Linked DNA regions of Ovis aries. The protein of the gene in region 1 binds, or shares a complex with, the protein of each later gene. Links are inferred from orthologs where the notes say so. Each region holds a gene or a part of one and is shown in the gene's direction. Other genes may lie near its edges.

Region 1 (2,626 bases):
GCGCTGAGTCCTAACAACTGGACCATCAGGGAATTTCCAATCAACTTTTGTTTTAAAAATTACAAAGAAAATGATGAGCATGAGCTTATTGATGTAACAGAGAGACCTGATCTTTTTAGCTTTTTGTTATGGCAGGTGAAGCAGAGACACTTTTAACTACTGAACATAGCCTGCCAGAGCCACACTATTGTCACTGCAGGCCCCCAATTATTCAGATGGTGACCCCTGATAAAGTATTGCTGGAGGTGATTGATACAGTCCTAATACCAAGAAACATTACTTTAGTTGGGAAATTTACCAAGGAGGAATACAGATTCATTATAATCTATGCCTAATAGATTATTATAATAAATAAGAGAAATAAAGATGCTAGTAACTAAGTCGGTTCAGGTGCTTTTTTTTTCCTCTTAAGGTTTAAGAGAAAAAAGTATTTTTTTCTCTTAAATACCTTTCAGGTTCTCTTCTTGCCTTCGAGGGTAAAACGTGTGAACTTGTTTTTATACCTATCATAGACGTTTTATCTGATACTTGTACTCAGTTGAATAAATTATGGAATAAATAAGTCAATGATTTGTCATAAAGTCAGTCAAAACATGGGAGGTGATAAAAGTTCTTTTTTCTGGGTTTCAAAAAATTATTAGTCCTTCTCTTCCTTTCCCCAAATTGAACTCTTGAATGAATCTTTTTAAAAAACCACAAGGGAAGGGATTTAATCTCATTTTATTTATTTACTGTATACAGTATTGAATTACTTCCGAAGATTTTAAATTTACAGAGTTTAAAATGAGATATTACTGTTAATTGTTCGTATGTTAAGAGTCATGTATCCTCTCTTATTTTTAGTAGCTTGCAAAAATACACATTGTGCTGGGCCTTCTTGCTCCTGTTACTCTGAAAGAAAAATATAGCTTATTTTTGAGCCATTGTGAGCAGGTTTGAATCATCAAAGCAAAAGTTCTCAAGTATAATCATCAGTCATTCTTAAGGTATCCTATGTCAGATACACGAGGTGTAAGGATGACTCTGCATCCATTCCAAGCACTGAATTTGTGATTTAGTTTCTAACAGGCATGCAAGTATTTTCTGTGAAACTAAGACTGCATCTTAATAAAAAGCTTTTTCCCCTCTCCATTACAGGGACCTTGTACACAGACAGACTGCTAGTGCAGTGGTGCAACACATGTCACTTGGGGTTTATGGATTTGGTTGCGAAGATTCGCTGAATCACTTGTTGAACTATGTATGGCCCAATGTGTTCGAGACATCTCCCCATGTAATTCAGGCAGTTATGGGGGCCCTGGAGGGTCTGAGAGTTGCTATTGGACCATGTAGAATGCTACAGTATTGTTTACAGGTAGGTTAAAGGTTTTTTAAACAGTATTCATTGAAAAAATAATGTAGTTGAATTAAGTCACTGTTCCTAATTATCATTAGGGAAGATATATTTGTGCCATATGGGAAAACAGTTATGAGGGGAGAGAAGATTAGATTTTGTCCTTGCCCACTTCAGTTTTATGAAATTGACATCTTTTTTTTTCCTCTCTCAAAGGGAGATGTTTAGAACCATATCTTTATGGTTTGTTTGTTAGTTGTGTTAAGGTTATGTATTTCTTGAAATAATATAACCTTTTAATTATTCTAGGGTTTGTTTCACCCAGCCCGGAAAGTCAGAGATGTGTATTGGAAAATTTACAACTCCATCTACATCGGTTCACAGGATGCTCTCATAGCACATTACCCAAGAATCTACAATGATGATAAGAACACCTATATTCGTTATGAACTTGACTATATCTTGTAACTTTATTGTTTATTTTGTGTTTAATGCACAGCTGTTTCACACCTTAAACTTGCTTTGATTTGGTGATGTAAACTTTTAAACATTGCAGATCAGCGTAGACCTGGTCTTAGAGGAAGAGCTAGAAATCCAGTAGCATGATTTTTAAATAACCTTTGTTTTTGATGTTAAGCAGTAAACGCCAGTAGTGACCAAGAACACAGTGATTACACACACTATACTGGAGGGCTTTCATTTTTAATTCATGTTTATGAAGATTTAGAATTCATTCCTTGTGTTTAAAGGGAATGTTTAATTGAGAAATAAACGTTTGTGTACAAAATGCTAACTTGTGTGTGTTTTTTGAACATGACTTGTAAAATGCGGAACTTTGATAAAGTACTGGTTTCTGTAGAATAAGTGGCTTAATATCGTTTTCTGTCACCTGGTTTATAGAGAGTAGTTAGTAGAATACAAGCTATATAAAGTGATGGTATCTTTGTCAAAATTCCATTGCTCTGTTGATAAAGACATTAGGAAGAGTAGCTTTGAGGGTGTTAACCTCAAACTAGCACAACCCTTCCATCACCTTAGAAAATATAGCACCTTTGCTGAACTGTCTTTAATATTATTTTGCACTTGCATAGCGCCTTTCATCTCTTGATTTCTCAAAATGCTTATGAATTTGCTTAAGGGAAGTAATTGAAGTCATATCCAACTCGTGACAATTCTGTTTAGAATGTGGGAAAAGTAGCTTAAACTTCTACTTGTAGGGAGTGAGGCTACCTCTAAGTCATGCTAGTTAGAATAAGACAATCTTTTGAGTTCTTTGCCCATGTCATGTCGTAA
Region 2 (4,173 bases), on another chromosome or scaffold:
TATAAAGAGACACTTCCAGATTAACTCAGTTACTAGGGGTTGAATTCTAGGAATCCACAAGGAAATAAAAGTAGGAACCAGGTCGCATAGGGACAATAGCATTAAACAGTAGCAACAAAACTGTGGGACCCAATGGCCAAACAGAATGCTATCATAGCTACAAGCATGTTTCGCTCCCAACTCCACTATAGTGGTGACTCAATGACCCTCTATCACTGCCTCAGCTTCTCCTCTCACCCATACGGAACTTGGCCACAGAAGACTACTCTGCCCATGCCCACATTTCCTACTCGTCCCTCTTTCTGGGAGAGGCTTACTGGCTCAGTGAGTCAAACTCAGTCTAGAATGCGGGGCTACCCTACCAAGTCACCTCACAGGCCTCCAACTGGGTCACACAGGAGCTAAACATCAACTTTTGGCCACCTGCTCGGAAGGGCCTGTGGATACAGCAGGCGCTCAGAGTCACGTGCAGCAGGACTGCTTAGTATACCTATGAACTGCTTAGTTCACCTATGCTGTGAACCTATTCAGGAATGAAATGGAAGCTCAATAACATATTGCTGAAAACAGCTGAATACTATTTTTGGATCCTAAAAGAAATATTTAGCAAAACGTATATGAGCCCAATAAAACTCGTTATCTACACTATAAATATGCATGTAAGTTCTATCACATGCACTTTTTTCCTAAAACATCAAAAAACGACGTTAGTGGGGCAGTAAAGGTGGTGTGTACACTGGATGTTACAGTTTCAGATTTGTAGCTTGAGCAAGTCTGAAATTTGGAGAACAAGGGACAGGCAACTGTTGCCTTTCCTTTCCAGAGTCATCTCCAGCCTGAGGAAGGTACCAGAAAGAAAAGGACGGAGCAGAGACTTGGAGAGAAGGTTGGTCCTTCCACTCACCATTCGTTCGTTCATTCATTCACTCACCACACACGCACTATACATCAGACCCTGTACTACCAGCTCGGGCTAACCCGGCTCTCCTAGGGAAGTCTTCACGAAACAAGTGAAAGACTCGTTTCCCACGCGGAGGAGGGGCCTCTGGGAGAAGGAGGCGCATCTTTCTGTCGCAGCGCGTCCTGTCCCGCCTGTCCCGTCCACTCCCCCAAGATGGCGGCCGCCTCGACGCCTGCTCCGGCGCCGGCCGAGTGGGAATCTTCCCACGCCTTTGGGCTACCGCCCCGCTGCGGACCCCGCGGAGCCCAACGTTCCCAAGAGGCCGTAGGCCCTGCGCTCCCCGCGGCCCCCGCGCCAGGACAGCCCTGCTGAGCATCTCCGCTCGGCAGCAGCGCAGCTCCCGGAGCCCCGCCCCCGGGGCCCCACGCCTCTGGCCCGTGTCGGCTCCTACTGACGCCACTGGGGGCGTGCCGGTGCGCCCCGCGACGACGCGACGCGCCAACAATGGCGACTTCGTCATCCTGAGCGGGCCTCGGTTTCCAAGTGGTTTCCAGACGTTGACGCGGGAGCCGCAGTTGCCTCAGACCCGGTCGGCGGCGGCGGCGGCGGCGCGCGTGCGCGCTCCCGCCTCGACCCGGATCGGGCAGCGGCGGCGAGGCCCGGCGGGGCGAATCAGGTGGGCGGTGGCGCGGCGGGGCCGGGACCTGCGACGCGCGCGCGCGCGCGGCGGGCGGGCAGCGGGCGGAGCGGGGGGCGGTGCGGCCGCCGAGTGGCCCTGACTTCCCGGGGGCTGCTGGGGCGCCGCGGGGAGGCGGGCCGGGGGGCGGTGGGGAGCGAGCTGAGTGTGGCCAACCTCCTTTTCTCTGTTCCCCTCCAGCATCAGCTCGGCCTCTTCGCTCGACCGGACCTTGCCTCTAGGCTAAGTGGGCAACATGAGCGGCAACAACTTGGATGCGAATGACGAGTTTGATGAGCAGTTGCGAATGCAAGAATTGTACGGAGACACCAAGGACGACGACACCGAGAAAGATCCCGGTGGAGAAACCGATTCTTTCGGGCAGCAGCCGACTGACACCCCGTACGAGTGGGACCTAGACAAGAAGGCTTGGTTCCCCAAGGTAAGAGTCGCCCGGGCGCCGCTGCACAGCGGGCCCACCTGGCCAGCCTCGCGGGGCGCTCCTTTCACGTTTTCTTTGCTGAGGTCCTGGGTTAGAGCCCCTCTGGTTGTGACGTTTCTTTTTGTTGTGTCTGTGGCAGAACCGACGTGTAAAGGAACGGAAATCTTTAGGAAGATGTCTTCAATGTAATTTAATTCTTAAGTCCTTTTTATGCCTTATTAATTTTATCTATGAAGGTTGCAGTTGGTTTATGTCAGTGACTGCTTTTTATTGCAAAGAGAAAAACATCAAGAGCAAATTCAATGGATGTTAATCTCAAGGCAGTCTCAATCTTATCCTAGGAATTCAGATGGTTAACTGATGTGCTAGGTGCAAAATGCAACTTCTTGAGTTGAAAAAAATTGATAAATTGGTAAATTTTTACTGATTAAAGGTTGCATCTTTTTTTTTCTTTCCTACTAAAGTTGGTCCTAGACACGTATATTTGAACCATATCACTACAGGAATATGACAGGAGGAGCACAGAATTTGGATGGAAAGGATCTGTGCCTATTTATTTAGAGTACCTGTAAATTTTTAAGCATTCAGTTTCAGCTTGGAAGTAAAATGACGGATGTTAAACTTGGTTCTGTAAACTTTTTGGTCAGAGTACCCTGTTAATCAAAGTCTTGTGGTACAGGTGGAAAAAAAAGGATACTTATCGCACACTAATAGATTTGCAAGCCAGTGATGCAAACCGTGTCTGCATTGTGTAATTTGAGTGTTATTTTTTAAATTATTTATTTAAACTGTTTTCTTTCCCAATTTTTATTTGTGTGTATGTTCCAATCCCTCTAAATTGTTAAACTTAACATTTCACTTGGGTACTGGTGGTGCCAGCTAGAGTGCAGATTTGGTTTCTTCAGCCTTCTGAGTACTTCAACAGTCGTCTGATAGTATAGTAATTTTTGGCTCTATCTTTTTATGTTATGGAACCCATACCACTTCAAACTTCCAAGTTCAAAATTTTCCTCATTCCTATGTGTGCCTCACATTGACTGGTAGGAAGATATAACTACATTTGTTTCATTGTACAATTGTTCTTTTCTCTAAGAGCCAGGAGGATGGATGTGAGTTGGATTTGTTCTTGATTTGTTTTGACATTAAATGATAATGTGATTTGAGTACATATCCTTATGTTCATCTGTATAGTAAAAGAAAATTTGATTCTGTTGTTAGATTATTAGTTGACTGTTGGTTTTTATTCTGTTTATTGTTATCTGGTACTTCCTTTGCTATATATACTTGTAGTCTTCGTCAAGTAGACTACAGAGATAGTAATTTACAAATGAAACAACTAGGAAAGGTGCCAACATCACTTAAAATGCCTTTAATAGTATCTCAGACTTTTGTGTTGATAATCCAAGTACCCATGTCTTAATTTTTTTATTCTCTTGCACAGTTTTCTATGTAGGTGACTGTTCTTCATATATGCTTTAATTACTGTTATCCACAGAAACACTCAAATGTGACATTGTATAACTGAATATACTGTTATTTAATACAGTGTAAACTTTTCACAGTAGGAAATCATTTTTTAATGTGTGTGTGTGTGTGCACTAAACTTCTTATTTAGATCACTGAAGATTTCATTGCTACATATCAGGCCAATTATGGCTTTTCTAACGATGGCGCATCGAGTTCTACTGCAAGTATCCAAGATGTCAGTGCCAGGCCTGCAGAAGAACCTCCGCAAAGACAACCCCCTGAACCCAGTGATCTGAAAAAGAAGGGAGAAAAGAGAAAGGCTGAATCAGGCAAGTAGATTTAGCTTGCAAAACATGAGTATAAAAGTTAAAAATATGAGTATGTGTATATGTATTTACTTTTTGGAGAATTATAACTTTGACAGAATCATAAGATGGGTATTTTTAATTATTATTATTTTTATTGGGGTTCATGTGTTGGCTCTCCCACTAACCTATAGGCATCAAGCAGATTGTTTCAATTCAGTTCAGTTCTCAGTTTCTTCCTTTCCAAAACAGAATTCTTATTAGAAGATTATTTAAAGTTCTGTTTATATGGTTGGTTTGGGTTTTTTTTGGTTTTTTTTTTGGTACTTCCAGTTAAGTTAAACAAGTCAATTTTGCTTCAGCTTGGCCAGATCTGACAGTA
Region 3 (3,947 bases), on another chromosome or scaffold:
GGGCCAGCGCGTGAGGCTGCCCGGACACTGCACTCAGCCTCTAGGGACTTAGGTGGGGCCACGCCGGGGCGGGGACAAGCAGCCTCGTCCCAGGCCGCACTCACTGATGGAGAAGCTGCTGGGTTCTTCGTGGATGACTCTGCAGTGCTCCAGCAGCAGGGCTCCAATGGGCTGCGGGCAAATAGGCGCATGGGGGAGGACCCCGGGAACCCGCCCGCCCCTTGCCCCGCCCCCGATTCCCGAGCCCGCCCTGCTCTGACACCCGACCTCGACCCCGCCCCGTCCCCGACTCCGAACTCCGAACCTAACCCCCACTCCGATCCTCTCTACCACCCTACCTCCGCCTCGTCCGTCCGGAAGTAGAAAAGGAAGTTGACCACCAGCTTCACCAGCCGCCGCTTCACCACTGCGAGCACAAGGCGGGATCGCGCGGGTTCAGTACCTGCCCACTCCCGCCCCCTCAGCCGCCCGCCCGCTCCGGCGTCCCGGACCGCTCACCGCTGCCTTTCTTGGGTCCCCGCATGCCCAACTCGGCTGCCATCTCGGCAGGCTGCCGGGATAACGCCTGCAGCTCTTTGTCGTTATAGCGCATGGCGCCGCCGGTACCCAGAACGCGGAACGCCGGCCGCGCCCTCCCGGCCGCCGTCCCAACGCTCGCCGAGGCCGGCGCCAAGGGTCCTACGGCGCCGTCCCGGAAGCGCAGCCGGAGCTACTACGCCTGCGCGCTCCCGGGCCGCTCGGTCTGTCAATCACCGGCGTGTGGCGGAAGCGTCTCGGAGGCCGTCAAGACGGAGCGGGCACTTCCTGGGGCGAACGGGACTATAGGCAAAATGGACGGTGTCATATATGACCATGTAATAACGTGAACCCGGGATGGGAACAATAAAGCATCCCCACGACCGGTGGTGCCCGTTATTCAAACGAACAGGCGCCAGGGGTGGGAGGCGAGTCGCAACTACCCTCCCCGCGAAAACTGGCCCTGCGCGAGCGGTACTGACCGAAAGAACGAAATTATCCGGGGTGCACGCGCACTTCGACTTCCGGTTTGCACTCCGCTCCCCTCTTTCCTTCAGCCTATCAGCGTGTCGCCCGCGCCATTGGGCGGGCCGGGCATGCGTACGCAGGAGGCCCGGCCCGTCCTGTCCCCGGAAGTGCTTTCTGAGCTCTCGGCGCGCGTGCGCAGGACGAGGTCGTCGCGGTGGCTGTGGCGCCTGAATAGACCAAGGCAGTGTGTGAGGAGCCCGTGGACTTGACGAAATCGTGGGTGAGGATTAGTAGTAGTGCGAGACAAGGGCGGCGGCCCCGGGGGACTCCTTGGAGGGGAGTGGCTGAAGTGCTGGGTTGAGGGCGGCATCGGCTCTCTACCCGTCGGGCGCTGGGCCGGCCCAGCACCCCCACCCTCCCGCAGGGAGCTCCGGTTGCAAAGGCCCGTTGGGTCGGGTCGGGTCGCAGCGGACCCGGGGCGCCTTCCCTGAGTCCTCTGGTTTGCTGGCTTTGTGGTCCGGGGCTTACCTGGTTCCTGTAATAGGTGGGGGTGACGGCGCGCCTGGTTCCAGGCCCGCCGAGGAGTGAGGAAGGTCCAGAGGCGGATCTCTTGGCTCGAGGCCCAAGACCCGTTAGCTAGGCGCGTTTAGCGAGCGAAGCCCAGAGTTTAAATGACTTCTCCCCTTGTCACTCTGGGAGCCCGGCCCCCTTCTCCCTTCTGCCCTTTGGCAGCTGAGTACGAGCGACCTGAGCTTGTAAATAGCCTGAGTCGGGTGTAGAAGTGGTCTCTCAACTTCCTACCGTGACTGCTGAGGTCTCATTTCTGCCTCCCCCTCACCCGCTGCAGCCTCATCCTTCATACCATGGATGTGGTTAACCTGAGCTTCAGTCAGATTGTCAGTCTTATTTTCTAGGGCTGAAAATAGCGTTCGCTGCTCAGGCGGGTACTGTATTGAGCCGTGCTGCTTTTTGAGGGTACTGTTCTCCTCTTAACCCTCCCCCCAGAGCGCTTTCATTTCTTCATTCTTCCTATTTGTCTGATTTTGCTGGTTATTAATTTTTCTCTCAAAGCATCATTATTTCACACGCCTTGTTTTTCAGTCGCATCTGACTGACCCCATGGGCTGCAGCACATCAGGCTTCCCTGTCTTTCACCATCTCCCAGAGTTTGCTCAAGCTTATGCCCATTGGGGCTTCCCTGGTGGCTCAGAGGGTAAAGTATCTGCCTGTGATACGGAAGACCCAGGTTCGATCCCTGGGTCGGGAAGATCCCCTGGAGAAGGAAATGGCAACCCACTCCAGTATTCTTGCCTGGAGAATCCCATGGACAGAGGAGCCTGGTGGGCTACAGTTGCAAAGAGTCGAACACGACTGAGCAACTACACTTAACTTATGTCCATTGAGTAAGTGATGCCATCCAACCATCCCATCCTCTGCTGCCCCCTTCTTTCGTGGTTAGTCTTTCCAAGCATCAGGGGCTTTTCGGATGAGTGCGCTCTTTGCAAGCGTATGGGTTGTAGTTTGCCATGGGTTGAAACAATGGATGTCTTTTTTCTTTTCCTGCCTGCAAACTTCCCTCTCAGCGCTGGCATCCTCCTGTTCCACTGAGGACTGGAGCTCCACTCAGCAGCTGAGTAACTATCCTAGAACCTTCTGTCCAGGCTCCCATGGGCTGGTTTCTGTTTTCAGTCCCACTGTCTCCTCTTTTTCCCATCAGAGCTCTTCAGGTAGGTTTTGAAGAAGTCGACTCATTTGTTCAGTTTGAGTCCTCAGTTTGCTGAAAATGGCTTTATCCATCCCGACAGTCAGAAGTGTGGGTGTAAAGTTCTAGATTGAAAGCCCCTGATGGGAATTGGGAAAAGCCTTGCCCTGCCTTATGTGTTCCTGCTGTTCTGAAGGCTCTCATCTCATCCTGGTTTCTAACCTCTTGTTGCTGAGTTTTTTTCCATCTACTAGGAAACTTCATGGTCTATTTATTGGAGAGTTTTTTATTTTTTTAGGTTGTTTCTTTGATAATACTCTCCAAGTTTTTTGTTTTTCTTTTCTAGTTTTAGTTTTGTATTTGGACTGTAGTTGACTAACAGTGTTGTGCTTCAGGTGTACAGCGAAGTGAATCAGTTATACATATATACAGACCCATTGTTTTTCGTTTTGTTGCCCTGTGTAGGTCGTTAGAGAGCACTGAGCAGAGTTTTCTGTGTTCTTTATACAGTAGGTTCCTATAGGTTATATCTTTATTAAATATAGTAGTGTGGCCATGTTGTGTTCTCAGTCCAAAATTTCTAGGTTCTTGCTTTGCCTCCTGTTATCTTGTTATTTTGCTATTGTTTATTTTTCTGTTCTTTATGATAGCTTTGACTCTTATCTTCAGGCGCTCACATTCAGTGTGTTAGGCTCACTGCATCTTTGCTTAAAGGGTTTATCTAGTGTTAATTGGCCATGCTAATCTGTGGCATCCTGTTCTAGCTGTGGGAACATCGCCCATCATCCAAGAGGATGTTAACATCTTCTGTTGAGCTTTTCACTGAGTTTCCTTTTTCCCCAGTACATGCATTTCTTCACATCTGTTTAGATATCAGTTCTGCGTGGAGCTTCCTGGTGGCTCAGACGGTAAAGCGTCTGCCCGCAATGCGGGAGACCCGGGTTCGGGAAGATCCCCTGGAGGAGGAAATGGCAATCCACTCCAGCATTCTTGCCTGGAAAATCCAATGGACGGAGGAGCCTGATAAGCTACAGTCCATGGGGTCACAAAGAATCGGACACGACTGAGCGACTTCACTCTTCTGCATGGAGAGCAGTGCTTCTCTAGTGAGCTCAGTGGGCCTGGCAAAGTGCTGAGGTTTAGGGGATGCAGAGCCCCCAACTTTCAGTGTCTGAGAATACTGTCTCTGGTGCTCTCTCCCCAGAAGAAACTCCTGATCTCCCCTGTCCCCTGGGCTGGGGACTCAAGCCAGGTTTCTTGC
Region 4 (3,063 bases), on another chromosome or scaffold:
GATGCTGAAGCGGAAGCTCCAATACTTTGGCCACCTCATGCGAAGAGTTGACTCATTGGAAAAGACTCTGATGCTGGGAGGGATTGAGGGCAGGAGAAGGGGACGACAGAGGATGAGATGGCTGGATGGCATCACTGACTCGATGGACATGAGTTTGGGTAAACTCTGGGAGTTAGTGATGGACAGGGAGGCCTGGCGTGCTGTGATTCATGGGGTCGCAAAGAGTCAGACACGACTGAGCGACTGAGCTGAACGGAACAGTTCGGGTTGAAGCAGGGTTTTGGGGTTCAGGCCCTAAGAAGCAGTGGTCAGTGCCCCTGAGGCTCCTCCCTGTGTAGTTTGAAAGCTGTTACTGATTAGAGGAAGAGCAGTGGACTAAGAATTCAGAGCTGCGGGTTTCAGTTTCAGTCCTGCTGTTAATACCAACATGTGGTGTCTTGCTTTGCTGTCAGTCAGCCTTAAGCGAGGCAGCCACTGTGGGCCCCAGTTTCTTTATTTCCATCTATTAAACAGATAGTCCTTAAGCATCCTTCATTTATGAAGCCAGTCATTGGAAACTCTTCTGTACTACTTAGAAAAATGCAGTCATCTTCATTACATGAGACTATACTTAGTTTTTGACAGGATTACTTAAATTGGTTATGAGCCTTGTAGCAGAGCAGGTACAGGGGCACCCAGGAAGTCTGGTATTTTCTAACAGAAAATGCAGTTCCCTGGGGAGCTCTTACCAGAGGAACTAGTGTTTCCTTCACCTCAGAGGTAATCTCAGTGCACCCAGGATTCCAGCATCCACTTTTTAATCTGTCTTCTGAACATCCCACAACTTCTGTCTCTTAGCCCGTTAGTAGATAAATGGCATCATCAACGCCCTTGTGGAATCTACATTCTCTCCTCCCGGAAGGAGATTACTGTGATGTAAAATCCAATCTGTGCTGTAGCTGATGGCCCAAGTACAGGGACCTTTCTCCTTTTCCTCCTCGCAGGGGCACGGTAGCACATAAAATCATGCAGAAGTATGGCTTCCGGGAAGGCCAGGGTCTCGGGAAGCATGAGCAGGGTCTGAGTACAGCGCTGTCGGTGGAGAAGACCAGCAAGCGGGGCGGCAAGATCATCGTGGGCGATGCCACCGAGAAAGGTGGGCCTCCCCTCGGGCAGGGCTCCTGGGGGTGTGGGCGGGGGCAGGCCATCCTGAATGAGAGAATTCCTCATCGTGATGCCTTCCAGCTCTGGGTGGTGGAAACAGTTCTGAGGCCCATCTTTACAAATAGTTCAAGACAGAGAGACAGAACGCCTGTGGGAGGAAAAGAAGACGAGAGGCTTTGGCAGCAATGAACAGGACTCCAGAAATCCTGTCATGCCTGCTTCTCCTCGGGAAAGAGCCTTGTTATACTGATAGAACCGTTACTGAGTTTTTATAGCAACGCAGAGCCATACGCAGTATATCAGTAATTCTTTCTGCTGTATCTCTATTCTGTAAGGGTTCTCTGCTTTTTGCTTTTTTCTGCCCTTTCATCCTAATTTTCTTACTGACTGCTCTGTAAAACTAGCATTATTTTGCAGTCTTCTGGTAGGTGATGCCTGCTTGGTGTTCTATTTTCATTTGACTGTTACAGTCTGTTCTGTAGTGAGGGCACGCTGGAATGAGTCAGGCATGATTTAGCACTTCAAGCAGGAGAACTCCGTAGTTTTGAATCAGTCTTAGCTGAATGCTTTTTCCTGAAGAAGGAAGAGAACTTTCCTGCCAGGCATGTTGACGTCGAGCTTGAAGCAGCACTAAGCCTCACAGGCTGGAACCAGAAACCAGCAGTCAGCCCAGTCTGTGGGGGTATTTGACACTGGTCAGCTCACGGCTGGCTGATGAACTGCTCGTTTACACTGGGCTCACGACCTCTGACCACTGCCTGAGTCAAGACTCGCTTCTGAGGGTGGTGATCACTGTGCCCTGTTGGCCCTTTAGGAAGTGAGCTAAGCAAAAATGCACCTGAGGATATTAAAAAGTTCTAGAATTTATGGTAAAAATTATACCAAAGTAAAGTGATGCTTTCGGATAGGAAAGGCTACATCTTGGCTCAGAGACTGTGTAGATGCTGGCTCTAGGACATAGAGAGTGGGGATTGGTGTTCAAAGTAAATTGCTCGTTGTAACTTAGACTTGGTGCCCTGACACTTCTGTCTGATGATGTTTTCTTACAGACGCAGCCAAGAAGTCAGATTCAAATCCATTAACTGAAATACTTAAGTGTCCTACCAAAGTGGTCCTACTCAGGGTAAGGAGCTGAGGGAGGAGCCCTGTTTGCCCTGTGTCCCTCCCCCCACCCTGTCCCTGCAATCAGTCAGCCCGGCTGATGATGGGATAGCTGAAGCGAACTGAAGGTGGTAATTGTGGGAAGACTCCCTGGAAGACTGGTTTTTAGATTCCTTTTCACTAGTGTTTCTTTGCTAAACATTAGTATTTAAGACTACAGTGAGAAATTACTTTAAAATGTTTGAAGTTGTCAGAAATTCAGCTTGGTTTGTGTATTCTGGTGCTTGCCCAGTTGCTCTGGTAACTCTTATTGAAGCCTAATGTATATTTTTTAATTTTTTTAAAAAAACTAACCTACTTCAGGATATTTCAGGAATGAAAATTTTCTTTGAATCATTTGGGTTTGGAAACATTTGCCATCTTGGAAAAAAGTTACTTATACATCTCTTTGACATAGTTGTCAATTATACTCAGTACTGGAATTTATATGTTTATTTTTGTTTCTAGAACATGGTTGGTGCAGGAGAGGTGGATGAAGACTTGGAAGTAGAAACCAAGGAAGAGTGTGAGAAATATGGCAAAGTTGGAAAATGTGTGATATTTGAAGTAAGAGAGATTTCTTTGTTTATAACCCAAGTTATGATTGATAGGTCACAAAGCATTTTCTGTAAATAGAGGATGCATTGTAAGTAACATACTGTCTTTAGAAGGTGACATGTGTTGGTTAGTTATACTGCTTTTACTCAGTTATTGCAATTTCAGATATTAGCATAAGAAGAACTTCAAATTTTATTTGGTGAAGAGACATTTCATTTTGTG
Region 5 (3,500 bases), on another chromosome or scaffold:
GAGGGTGGCGGGCTGCTGGGCAAAGGAGGGGAGGTCGAAGGCCCCGGCTGTAGCGGCCGTGGGGCGGTCTGGACGAAGGGCCCACCCAGCTCCTGCGTCCTTGACGCGGGGGTGGTGGGCGGGGCCTCCCAGGAGGGCGGTCCGCTTGGGGGCGGGGCTGGACGGGTGGGTGCCCCCCCCCCCCCGGGGCTGCCCGGCCCCGCCCGGCCTGACGCGGGCCCGAGGTGGGGCGCGGGGCCGGCTGGTTGAGGAGGAGTCTCCTGAGGGGTCGCCGGGTCCCTTCAGGAAAACATCACTGGGTCTCTTGATTCCCCAGCGTCTAGCCCTGCCCCTCTCAGGGACGACCCTGGGTCAGGCCCCTCAGCCCTGGAGGGGGACCAGGAGCCAGCCTCCTCTGACTTCTCTGGCCCCCCAGCTCCTCCTGAGCAGACTCAGGTACCTTACACCCCGGGGCCCTGCCAGGCCCTGTCCCCTCAGGTAACTGCTCCCGCCCGGCCCCCAGGGCCCTCGGGCTCCGCGTGCGTGGACAGGAAGCCTGCCGCCCCGCCCTCCTCGAGCCCTTCCCCGTGGGGGTGGCCTCCCGGGCAGGGGCGCGGCCTCGGGGGCGGGCGGGCCGGGCTGCCCCCGCCCAGCTCACGGCCCTGTCCCCGCAGAGCGCGACAAGGAGAATCGGCACCGCAAGCGCAGCCACAGCCGCTCCCGGAGCCGGGACCGCAAGCGCCGCAGCCGGAGCCGCGACCGCCGCAACCGGGACCAGCGCAGCGCCTCCCGGGACAGGCGGCGCCGCAGGTACCAGGGCGGCGGGGCTGCGTCTGGGCCGCCGGCCCCTCTCCACGCGGGGCTGGGGGCTCTGCTGTCCTGTCTGGCCGCCGTCGTCTCTCTGCGGGGGCTTCCGGGGGCGACTCTGGGGTCAGGGCCCCGCTTCCCCCGTCTGGTCTGGGTTCTCCGTCGGCTTCCCGGGCTGCGCTCTGCCTCCCTGGGGCGGGACGGCGTCTCTCGGGACAGCTCTCTGCTCGGACGCCTCTTCCCTTCCCAGGCTGCCCCCTGTTCTCTCAGCCCCAGTGGAAGGGCGGGTGGGTGGCGCCCCGCCTCCTCCCACCTCAGCCTCCAGCTGGAAGCTGGTCTGTCTGGCCCTTCTTCCCTTCCTCGTGGCTGGGGGGCTTGGGGGCGATGCCCTGCCCCAGCCCTGGGGCTCAGTGCCCTCGGGGGGGTGCGGTGTGCGGGGAGACGAGGGTCCCCAGTCACCCCTCCCCACACCTTTCCCTCCCACCCCCAGCAAACCTTTGACCAGAGGCGCTAAAGAGGAGCACGGTGGATTGATGTGAGCTTCTCTTCTGCCCCTTCCCCCACGCCCTCCCCCGCCTCCCCGCGCACCCCGCCCTGTCCTCATCCGCTCGCCGGGAAGAGTCCCCTGCCCAGAACGGGTCGGCCCTGATTGCGTCCTCTCTCTCCTTGAGAGCCGAGCCGGGGACCGAGGGGAGCCGGGGGGGCTGCAGGCCCGCCTTTGGTCAGACTGAGGTCGCCCTGCCCCACTCTCCCCTCCCGCCTCCCCCAGTCGCTCCCCCCGCCACGAGAAGAAGAAGAAGGTCCGCAAATACTGGGACGTGCCGCCGCCGGGCTTTGAGCACATCACCCCCATGCAGTACAAGGCCATGCAAGGTGGGCTCCACGCCTGGGCTGGGGGCGGGGTGGGCGAGGCCCTCAGCAGACCCTGCTCCGACAGTTTGTCCTCTGACCCCTTCTGTCCCTCTTGAAGCTGCGGGTCAGATTCCAGCCACTGCCCTCCTCCCCACCATGACCCCTGACGGTCTGGCTGTGACCCCAACGCCGGTGCCCGTGGTCGGGAGCCAGATGACCAGACAGGCCCGGCGCCTCTACGTGGGCAACATCCCCTTTGGCATCACTGAGGTACTGCCCTCCCCTGCCCCCGCTGCCCCCCCTTCCTGTGCCCGCTGTTCCTCCCTCCGTCCGTTCCCTCCCCCAGCCTGCACGGGTCAGACTCTGCGCCTGCAAGGCCCCCCGGCCCCCTCCCCGACGGACGATGGAGTTGAGCCAGCCAGGGGCCGGGCTGGGTGGCCCTCTCCTCCCTCCTCTTCCCTCTCCCATCTCCCCTCCCCAGCCTCCTCCAGCTGCCCAGGGATCAAGCACACACATAACGTACCCACGAGTCTGTGGTCCGAGTCCGTGTGGAGAGAGACAGAGAGGGAGACACGCACACGCACACACACGCAGACGCACGCCCCAGCCTCTCTGACACGCCTCTTGTTCTCTGCCGCCTCCCCGTCCTCTCCCCCACCCCTCCATGGTTGCTGCTCTGATTTTGATCGCCCTGACCTCCCCGCCTTCCCCACCGCTCCTGTCCCCTCCCCTCTCCCTACCCCTTCCCGTGGCGCCCCCGAGAATCCCGAGATCAAAGAGTTGTTTCCATTTCTCTTTAAAGTGAAATATTGTGGGGCTGAGATCCCTCGTAGCAACAAAAAGTTTGCTACCATCGGCGAAGGCAAGTAAGGTCCATTCTGACTTTCTCAACCTGCACTTTGCTGCATTTGATAAACCAGCCCCCGACTCCAGGACCAGATCCCTCCACATCACTCTTCTCTCCCCCCTCCCCCCCCCCCCCCCCCTCCCCGCCCCCCCTCCACCCTCCGTGTGCTCCGCCTGTTGATGCTCCACTTCATGCCGTCTCTCTCCTGCTGTCGCCACTGGATGTTTCCTCTACACTTTCCGTCTGTTTTCTCGCCTCTCCCTCGTTTCCCGCTTCTTCTGATGACCTCCCTTCTTCCCCGGTTGGGGCCCCTGGCTGTCTCCTGTGCTGCCCCCTGCCCTTGTTTCTTTCATCTTTCTCCTGCGTTTGTCCCAACTACTGATCTCTGCCCCACCCGGACTCCACTGTCCCCCCCCTCCCCCCACCCCTCTGTGTCTCCCTCTCTCACCCTTCCCCTCCTCTCTCCACCTCCCCTCCCCGCCCCCCCCTGTCTCCTCTCTCCTCTGCAGGAGGCCATGATGGATTTCTTCAACGCTCAGATGCGCCTGGGGGGGCTGACGCAGGCCCCTGGCAACCCTGTCTTGGCCGTGCAGATTAACCAGGACAAGAACTTTGCCTTCTTAGAGGTGAGCAGGCCTTGTTCCCACCAGGCCCTTCTGCAGTCTGCTCGCCACCCAGCTGCGGTCTTGGCACCCTTGGGTGGGCTCTGACCAGCCACTCGCCTTGCCCCTTACCAGCTTCATTCCTGTCCTTTCTTTAGTTCCGCTCAGTGGACGAGACCACCCAGGCCATGGCCTTCGACGGCATCATCTTCCAGGGCCAGTCGCTGAAGATCCGCAGGCCTCATGACTACCAGCCCCTGCCGGGCATGTCGGAGAATCCCTCTGTCTACGTGCCTGGTGAGTGGGCTCTGGGGGGCACTGAGGGGTGCACAGGGCCAGCCCGGGGTCTCTCAGCCTGTCGGAGGCTGGGCAGCCCTAGGGTCTTGGGAGAAGTGGGGTGCGCTGGGCCTCCA
Region 6 (3,500 bases), on another chromosome or scaffold:
AATCCTCTGTTGATGCCCACTTAGTACCTAGTGCAGCTTTGCACAAAACAGGCATTCAGGTGAACGAATGGAAGGCCTTCTAACAATATGTATCGTCCTCTTATTTGTCTGAGTTTATCTCAGTCAGAAAATAAATGGGTTTTAGAAAATCCAGCTTAATATTTTAAGTGTTAAAGTATATACTACCTAGCTTAAAAAAATGCAGTCCAGACTAAACATTGCAAAACTTTTTTCCCAAGGTTTTATGACCATTATTATGAATATCATTTATTGAACTACAAAGTAATGGCATCCCAGTTGATTGCCTTAAATGTTAACTTGCAGAATTTTACCCTAGCTGTAGTAACTAACCTGGGTGCTCTGTCTTATTGTTCTTCTTTTTCTTTCTTCTATCAGCTTACTAAATTACTGCTTTCCTTGGATATCTCTTGAAATTCTTTTATCTCAATTTTAACTTGCTGTTTTCTGATATACAGTAAATGGAATCCCAATAAATAGAATATGTCTAATCAAATTGTAGGTTAATGAGCATATTGGTGATTTTTCAAAAATTGACTTCTGTAGCAATAATTGTAGCTAGATAACAGTTTGTTTGCTTTCTGATTTTTTTTCTTTTTAAAGCACCAGTTCCTCTGTTAAGTTGGCCAGGTCGATAAAATATTACATTTTTAAAATTTCAGTGATGATACTAACTTACCAAGTATTTTCACCTCTGTTTGTGTCATTTGCTTCTCTAAATCATACTTAGGAGGTACTAGGTTTCTACAGTTTTTTTTCTCCTACATGTTGATATAATACATCCTTTAAGCTTTTTGTTACTTACGAAGTGTTAAATTAACTTCTAGAAAAGAGCCTCATTGTGGAAGGCAAGAGGGAAAAGAAGAAAGTAGAGAGGTTGACGATGCAAGTCTCTTCTTTACAAAGAGAGCCATTTACAATCGCACAAGGTAAGTTTCTATTCCTTTCATTCTGTAGTGAAAATGCCTCAGTATACAACATGATGGTTAGCAATGTTTAGTTTTTAGTGTTTATTAAGTACTAATATATTATAGGTGTAATTTAATTTGTCCTGTGAGAGCATATGTAAACTAAGCTCTAAAAATAATTCTCATTAAATGTTCTAACACATAATGGGTGTTTAACATGGTATTTTTTTTCCCCCCTAGGAAAAGGGCAGAAACTTTGTGAAATTGAAAGGATACATTTCTTTTTGAGTAAGAAGAAAACAGATGAACTTAGAAATCTCCATAAACTGCTTTACAACAGACCAGGAACAGTAAGACCTTTTTTATACTTTTTACCTAGTAGTGTACTTACGTGTTAAAATACTTTACAACAGGAACATAATTTTAGTTCTGGAAAGGACTTTAGTTCCAGAACTAAATCAACTAGATCAATCTCCATTCCATACAATGTAGCTAGATATAGCCATTAGTATTATAATATCCAGAGCTCTTTATATTGTTGTTTTTAAGTGAAAGTCGCTAAGTCGTGTCCGACTCTTTTCGACCTCATGGACTATACAGTCCATGGAATTCTCCAGGCCAGAATACTGGAGCGGATACCCTTTCCCTTCTCGAAGGGATCTTCCCAGCCCAGGGATTGAACCCAGGTCTCCCGCATTGCGGGCAGATTCTTTACCAGCTGAGCCGCAACGGAAGCCCAGGAATACTGGGGTGGTTAGCCTATCCCTTCTCCAGCAGATCTTCCCAACCCAGGAATCGAACTGGGGTCTCCTGCATTGCAGGCGGATTCTTTACCAACTGAGCTATCAGGGAAGCCCATAGTTGTTTTTAAGCCAAACTAAAATTTCAGATTGTGAAATCAAAGTTTTGATTTAGTGATCTTTAACTGTGTTAGAAGAAATTTATTTTTTGAATGTTTCTAGCCATTCAGAATAAACGATACAGAATATTGTGTCTCCTTATGAGGAAATATCTGATAAACCAGGGGATAATTTTTTGCCAGCAGTTTGTTAAAATAAATCAGTGTTTCATTTACTGATCATAATACTGTACACACAACTTCAGTGTTCCATACACCTGAGGACACTTCGCTTTGGGCTATGCATGGGCAAAGTAAAGCTTGACATTGTTTGGCTGTCTGAAGCGTGGTAAGCTTTGTTTTCATGTGTGTTACCTCATTCCACCCTGACAATAGTCTGATCTACACAAGTCCCATTACTGCTAAATGGTATTGACTTTTGGAGGGACTCTGTTATTTGCTTTTTAAAGAATAAATCCCTGACTTTCTTATTTGAAAAATTAATAGTACTGGTAACTTATGTTACTTAAGGAAGGAATTTTTTTTTAAGTTATTTATTTATTTTGGCTGCACTGCCTGGCTTGTGGAATATTTATTCCCCAACCAGAGAATGAACCTGGGTCTTGACAGTGAGAACGGGGAGCCAGAACCACTGAACTGCCAGGGAATAAGAGTAGTAGCTTTCCATATCCCTGGGTGTTATCAGATAACATTTAATTGTGGTTTTATAATTACTCGGGAAATTTCCCAAATGAAATACATTTTAATTGAAATTGGTATTTTCAAAGAATTAAGTTTGTAAACATTTTATAATGTTAATATTTTAGTAACAAATGCACTTTTCCATTGTGAATTTTAAAATATGGAATAAACCGCTATTGTAACGTGGAGACAAATGTGAAAAGAAAAATGTTGGCTTTGAAATTTTTCTTGTTTACATTACTGGGTAATAAGTAGCATTAATAATAGGAGAAACGTTTTCAGGTGTCCTCATTAAAGAAGAATGTGGGTCAGTTCAGTGGCTTTCCGTTTGAAAAAGGAAGTATCCAGTATAAAAAGAAGGAAGAAATGTTGAAAAAGTAAGTTATCTTTATAAATAATCATGTTTAGATTAATGTGCTTCAGCTTTTTTTTTTTTAACATTTTAAGTATAACTGCCCTTACATTTTCAGTAGACTGCTGATTCTTTGCTTTAAATTCCAAGACCATGTCATCATAAACTATTAACTTGCTTTCTGAAAAATAGTGGCTATCAAGATTATTGAAAGCTAAAAGACATTTCTGTTCCTTAGAAGAATGATACACAGAGGTAAATCATTCACACAGCTCCAAATTCAGAAGGTCCAAAGGGAATGTAAATGTAGTAAAAACTCTTCCACTCCTATTCTGTGTCAGCCACTCCATTCCCTCACTTTTAAGTGCCATTTAAACTATTTTGAAGATAGTCAGGTTAACAGAAATAATTTCCACCCTAATGCAGACAAGATGATATATTCTTTTTAAACAATTTTTTAAATAAGATGATACATTGTTTAAAGTTTTTTATTAAGGCCCCTGTAGTTTAAAACTTGAGTATTAAATATGATTACCTATTACCTTCTTTGAGACATTGTCAGTAGGAATGCTCAGGGGGAAATGTAGTATTTAATCACCAGCCACAAGAATTAACAAGTTTGTGAATTTTAAGTAATGAAAAATTTTACATAATTTTCTAGTGAATGAAGTAAGTTTTTTCT
Region 7 (3,993 bases), on another chromosome or scaffold:
TCTCAGAGCTGGAGGCAGAGGTGGGAAGATGAACTGAACTGACTGATCAGGACAGGGAGAAGCAGAAGGGGGCAAGCAAGGGCCACCTGCCCATCCCTCCCTCAGGGGCACAGGCCGCTGGTGGGGTAGGAGAGCACCAGACAGGGTCTGCTGCGCCAGTAAGCTGGTGGGGATGAGGGAAGAAAAGGTCCTGAGTTTATTTTCTTTCTTTTTCGGCCTTGCGGTGCGGCTTGTGGGATCTTAGTTACCTGACCGCGGATGGAACCCGGGTTTCCCCAGGGAAAGCACTGAGTTCGACCCACTGGACCACCAGGGAATTCCCCTGCGTTTATTTTCAAGACTAAAAAAGGATCCAAATCTTGTCGCTTAAGACTGCTTTTTTTTTTTTTTTTTCCCCCTTTCAGTAATAATTCATTGAGCACTTCTAACGCCAGGTACTGTGAGACCGTAAAAACTCATGTCTTGGGAGTTGTAAGTGCAGAAAAGGGCAAGAAAGATTTCAAAACAAATGGTAGAGGTTTGGCCGCTCCAGAGCAGGAAAGGCGGGAGACAGTTTAACGTAGATGACATTTGAGACGGCCAGGAAGGTGGAAAAAGGGGCTTTAGTGTGGCCCTTCCCCCAGGTCGGCAGCTGGATCTCAGCCCGGAGGGCCGGCTTCGTTCCCGTCTCCGATCTCCTTTCAGCCCATTCATCCATGCCTGGGCCGGGGATGGGCGGGCAGACAATCAGACACTGTTTTATCACAGGCATCGGCGGCAAACTCCCGCTTGGCGCCCACAGCGCGCGACCGCCGGGGGAACGAGTCCCTGGAGAACGTGAGCGTCCAGGCCTCTCAAGTCCAACCAGGGAGTAGCGCCGCAAGGCGGGAGGTCTGCGCTGAGGCCAGTGAGATGCAGAAAGCACGCCCTTCGGGCAGGACCTGCTTTCCCCACAGCCCCGCCCCGGCTCTGGCCTCCAGAGTTCCCCGCGTCGCGGCCGGCCGCGATCCTCCCGGATTTGAATCCGCAGAGATCGTGACCTGTGCACTACAACTCCCAGAAGGCTTCGCGACCAGGCGGCCTAAGGAGCATTGGAGAACGGTAGGGGGTGGGCCCTGATGGGAACTGCCTGGCAACCCTCGAGCGGACGTGGCGTATCGCCCTACCGGAAGTTCCGGGAAGTGGGTCCGGAGGCTGGTCCGAGCTTCCGGGTTGGTCGCGCGCCTTCCTGCGGCTAAGATGGCGGCCGAGCATCCGGAGCCTCCTAAGGGAGAGTTGCAGCTGCCGCCGCCGCCGCCTCCTGGACACTATGGTGCCTGGGCTGCCCAGGAGCTTCAGGCCAAATTAGCAGAGATCGGAGCTCCCATCCAGGGTGAGGAGCATGGGAAGTCAAGGGCAGGAAAGTGCAGGCCTGCGGGGAAGCGGAGCTGGTTACCCCGGAGACCCGGGGGCGGGGGTTAGAGGCTGGCCGCGGTGGCCTGACTTGGGCAGGCTGGCCTGCTCGACCTGACCTACCCCGTTGATCCTGTGCTTTGCTTAGCAGGGAGTCGCGAGGAGCTTGTGGAGCGATTGCAGGCTTACACTCGCCAAGTAAGTGTTGGTGGCGGGACATGAGGATAGGCCGAGCGTTTGCAGGAGGCATTAATGACCCGTTACAACTCGGTCTTCGTTGTTTACGAATCTCGGTACAGCAAGTGGGGTCTTGGCTGCTTCGTATCTGCTGTGTTATAATTGCTTTTGTATATATCGTTTCTTCCCAGAGCCCATTCCGAGCTCTGGCAGACAGTCACTGGGTAAATTTTGTTGAATAGACGAGAGCGAACGCTGTTTCATGCACCAGCTCCTTTTAGACTGCCCTAGATTCTTTTCACTTTCACAGACTGGCATCGTCCTGAATCGTCCCGTTCTGAGAGGTGAAGATGGGGACAAAGCTGCTCCTCCTCCTATGTCAGCACAGGTAAGAAGACTGTCTCACTTGATAAGATTCTTTTCTACTCAGAGTAGCTCCTCCTCTGAGCGTACAGGGGGATACACGTAGCCCACTGGGCAGGGAGGTACACTGATGAAAGAACTGGGAACTCTTCAGTTCTTCCTTCGTCCAGATTCTTACTTCCTTTCTCAGTGTCAGTTCCTCCAAATTTCATGTGTCATTTAAGATTCAGCTTAAATATCTGGAAACCTGACATAATCCTTCCCCAGCTGGAAGTAATCACTCTCTTCTCTGCCCTCCCTGTGCAGAGTTCCCATGTTATTCAATGAGAAATTAGGGCTTACTCTCTGATTTAATTTCATACCTTCTATATTTAATCAGTCATTGGGGCACACTGGGTCTTATTTATTTAAATACTCTCAATTTCCATGTCTTTTCTGATCCAGGATTTGATAGTTTTTCTGTAGAGCAGTGGCCCTGACTTGGGGTCCAGGGACTTCTATGTGTGGCATAAGAAGGTTTTTATTTTTTGAGGGGTTGAGGAGTTTTTCAGAAGGCCTTTAGAGGTGTCCGTGAGTCTCCTGAAATTGTATGTGAAGTCTGTGTTCATGATGTTCTTCTGGGACAGAGTTGACAGCTTTCATCAGTTGGTGGCACAAAGTTAAAATGCTCTTCTTTCGATACTGCCGTAGAGTATTCTTTCTTTTTTCCTTTATGTCTTTGGCTGCTCTGGGTCTTCATTGCTGTGTGCAGGCCCTTTCCAGTTGAAGCGAGCACAGGACTACTGTCTAGTTGTGTTGTGCGGCCATCCCATCGCAGTGGCCTCTGGTTGCGGAGCACGGGCTCCAGGGTATACGGGTTTCAGCAGCTGCAGCACACGCGGCACATGGGCTTAGTTGCCCCGCAGCACGTGGAATCTTCCTAGAGCAGGGCTCGAACCCATGTGCCTTGCGTTGAGCGGATTCTTAAACATTGGACCTTCAGGGAAGCCCTGCATTTTCTTGAATGCAAGAATTGTGCATCATTTGACTTTGAATCCCAGTGCCAGCCTTATATTAGTTCCCCAGCAAATGCCTGCCATTACATAAATGCTTCATAGTTAATGGCCTTTTTTTCCCCCCACAGCTCTCGGGGATTCCCATGCCGCCCCCACCCATGGGTCTCCCTCCTCTACAACCCCCTCCACCACCCCCACCACCCCCACCTGGCCTTGGCCTTGGCTTTCCTATGGCAGTTGGACCCCGCCCGCCAAACTTGGGGCCTCCTCCTCCTCTCCGGGTGGGTGAGCCCGTGGCGCTGTCTGAGGAAGAGCGGCTGAAGCTGGCGCAGCAGCAGGCGGCATTGCTGATGCAGCAGGAGGAGCGTGCCAAGCAGGTAGGGCAGGTGGCAGCCTGAGCCTGGGTCTCACCAGGGTCCTGAAAAGGGAGTAGGGCCTCCAGGGGAGCCGGATCCTGGGGCCAAGGCTTCTGGGAAGGTCTGGACCCAAGTCTTCAGGGCCTCGGCTGGAAGAGCAGACCAGGAAGCAGAGCTGTGGTAGACTGGCCGGTGGGGTGTGGGTACTGGAATGAGCTCGTTTTCTTTCTTAAGCAGGGAGATCATTCACTGAAGGAACATGAGCTTTTGGAGCAGCAGAAGCGGGTAATGCCTCCCTCTTCCTAACCTTTGACCTCCATGGTCTAATCCATCGTCTGTCACTTCTAGTGCTTACTGTCTAAAATTAGCCGTGCCATTCAGGTTTCCCATGGAGATTACCTCATCCTCATCTAAATTCCATTATCTCCCAAATAATTCTTTCTTTCACATAGCCAAGGAATTGGTAATCTGTGGACTATAGCCTGTTTTTGTATGGCCTGTGATGTAAGGATGGTTTTTATATATTTGAAGGGTTGTTTCGGGGAGATGGGGGAAAGGAATTTACAACAGTCTACAAACAACCCAGAAAGCCTAAAATATTTACTGACTGGCCCATTACAGAAGAAATTTCCTGACCCCTACTGGGCTTTCCCAATGGCTCAGTGGGTAAAGAGTCTGCCTGCAGGAGACAGGAGATGTGGGTTTAATCCCTGGGTTGGGAAGATCCCCTG

The links.
Region 2: SF3B1 (region 1) and HTATSF1 share a complex: the UniProt entries of both Homo sapiens proteins name them as parts of the 17S U2 SnRNP complex. The link is inferred for Ovis aries from reciprocal best matches to the Homo sapiens genes SF3B1 and HTATSF1.
Region 3: SF3B1 (region 1) and SF3A2 share a complex: the UniProt entries of both Homo sapiens proteins name them as parts of the 17S U2 SnRNP complex. The link is inferred for Ovis aries from reciprocal best matches to the Homo sapiens genes SF3B1 and SF3A2.
Region 4: the proteins of SF3B1 (region 1) and RBM17 are in contact, whole or in part, in a crystal structure (PDB 2PEH), measured with the Homo sapiens proteins. The link is inferred for Ovis aries from reciprocal best matches to the Homo sapiens genes SF3B1 and RBM17. Residues at the interface, in NP_036565.2 of Homo sapiens: Arg334, Ser336, Arg337, Trp338, Asp339, Glu340, Thr341, Pro342; in NP_001139019.1 of Homo sapiens: Leu309, Met312, Val313, Asp319, Asp321, Leu322, Glu325, Thr326, Glu329, Leu372, Arg375, Tyr376, Phe377, Gly378, Gly379, Val382.
Region 5: the proteins of SF3B1 (region 1) and U2AF2 are in contact, whole or in part, in a crystal structure (PDB 7SN6), measured with the Homo sapiens proteins. The link is inferred for Ovis aries from reciprocal best matches to the Homo sapiens genes SF3B1 and U2AF2. Residues at the interface, in NP_036565.2 of Homo sapiens: Ser336, Arg337, Trp338, Asp339, Thr341, Pro342, Ala343, Met346; in NP_009210.1 of Homo sapiens: Met383, Glu388, Glu394, Glu397, Ile398, Asp401, Val402, Glu405, Gln447, Gly448, Leu449, Thr450, Gly451, Arg452, Lys453, Phe454, Ala455, Val459.
Region 6: SF3B1 (region 1) and DEK share a complex: the UniProt entries of both Homo sapiens proteins name them as parts of the B-WICH complex. The link is inferred for Ovis aries from reciprocal best matches to the Homo sapiens genes SF3B1 and DEK.
Region 7: SF3B1 (region 1) and SF3B2 share a complex: the UniProt entries of both Homo sapiens proteins name them as parts of the SF3B subcomplex of the 17S U2 SnRNP complex. The link is inferred for Ovis aries from reciprocal best matches to the Homo sapiens genes SF3B1 and SF3B2.

What each region holds. Positions count from the first base shown.
Region 1 is NC_056055.1:199,700,664-199,703,289, reverse strand, and holds the end of SF3B1 (splicing factor 3B subunit 1), read left to right. Parts: intron 1-1,137; coding exon 1,138-1,354; intron 1,355-1,642; coding exon 1,643-1,801; 3' UTR 1,802-2,126; downstream 2,127-2,626. UniProt on the Homo sapiens protein: Component of the 17S U2 SnRNP complex of the spliceosome, a large ribonucleoprotein complex that removes introns from transcribed pre-mRNAs.
Region 2 is NC_056080.1:98,729,608-98,733,780, reverse strand, and holds the start of HTATSF1 (HIV Tat-specific factor 1), read left to right. Parts: upstream 1-1,373; 5' UTR 1,374-1,577; intron 1,578-1,778; 5' UTR 1,779-1,833; coding exon 1,834-2,019; intron 2,020-3,634; coding exon 3,635-3,815; intron 3,816-4,173. UniProt on the Homo sapiens protein: Component of the 17S U2 SnRNP complex of the spliceosome, a large ribonucleoprotein complex that removes introns from transcribed pre-mRNAs.
Region 3 is NC_056058.1:19,182,315-19,186,261, forward strand, and holds the start of SF3A2 (splicing factor 3A subunit 2), read left to right. Parts: upstream 1-1,147; 5' UTR 1,148-1,264; intron 1,265-2,085; 5' UTR 2,086-2,197; intron 2,198-3,947. Other genes in the region: PLEKHJ1 (pleckstrin homology domain-containing family J member 1), read right to left, coding at 105-171, 339-406, 499-592. UniProt on the Homo sapiens protein: Component of the 17S U2 SnRNP complex of the spliceosome, a large ribonucleoprotein complex that removes introns from transcribed pre-mRNAs.
Region 4 is NC_056066.1:10,895,321-10,898,383, forward strand, and holds part of RBM17 (splicing factor 45), read left to right. Parts: intron 1-983; coding exon 984-1,135; intron 1,136-2,192; coding exon 2,193-2,266; intron 2,267-2,751; coding exon 2,752-2,850; intron 2,851-3,063. UniProt on the Homo sapiens protein: Splice factor that binds to the single-stranded 3'AG at the exon/intron border and promotes its utilization in the second catalytic step. Involved in the regulation of alternative splicing and the utilization of cryptic splice sites.
Region 5 is NC_056067.1:62,666,231-62,669,730, reverse strand, and holds part of U2AF2 (splicing factor U2AF 65 kDa subunit), read left to right. Parts: intron 1-653; coding exon 654-789; intron 790-1,276; coding exon 1,277-1,321; intron 1,322-1,555; coding exon 1,556-1,659; intron 1,660-1,756; coding exon 1,757-1,908; intron 1,909-2,994; coding exon 2,995-3,111; intron 3,112-3,245; coding exon 3,246-3,384; intron 3,385-3,500. UniProt on the Homo sapiens protein: Plays a role in pre-mRNA splicing and 3'-end processing. By recruiting PRPF19 and the PRP19C/Prp19 complex/NTC/Nineteen complex to the RNA polymerase II C-terminal domain (CTD), and thereby pre-mRNA, may couple transcription to splicing.
Region 6 is NC_056073.1:38,626,901-38,630,400, forward strand, and holds part of DEK (protein DEK), read left to right. Parts: intron 1-845; coding exon 846-947; intron 948-1,166; coding exon 1,167-1,276; intron 1,277-2,748; coding exon 2,749-2,843; intron 2,844-3,500. UniProt on the Homo sapiens protein: Involved in chromatin organization.
Region 7 is NC_056074.1:40,571,963-40,575,955, forward strand, and holds the start of SF3B2 (splicing factor 3B subunit 2), read left to right. Parts: upstream 1-1,193; 5' UTR 1,194-1,218; coding exon 1,219-1,351; intron 1,352-1,519; coding exon 1,520-1,569; intron 1,570-1,858; coding exon 1,859-1,936; intron 1,937-3,034; coding exon 3,035-3,283; intron 3,284-3,496; coding exon 3,497-3,547; intron 3,548-3,993. UniProt on the Homo sapiens protein: Component of the 17S U2 SnRNP complex of the spliceosome, a large ribonucleoprotein complex that removes introns from transcribed pre-mRNAs.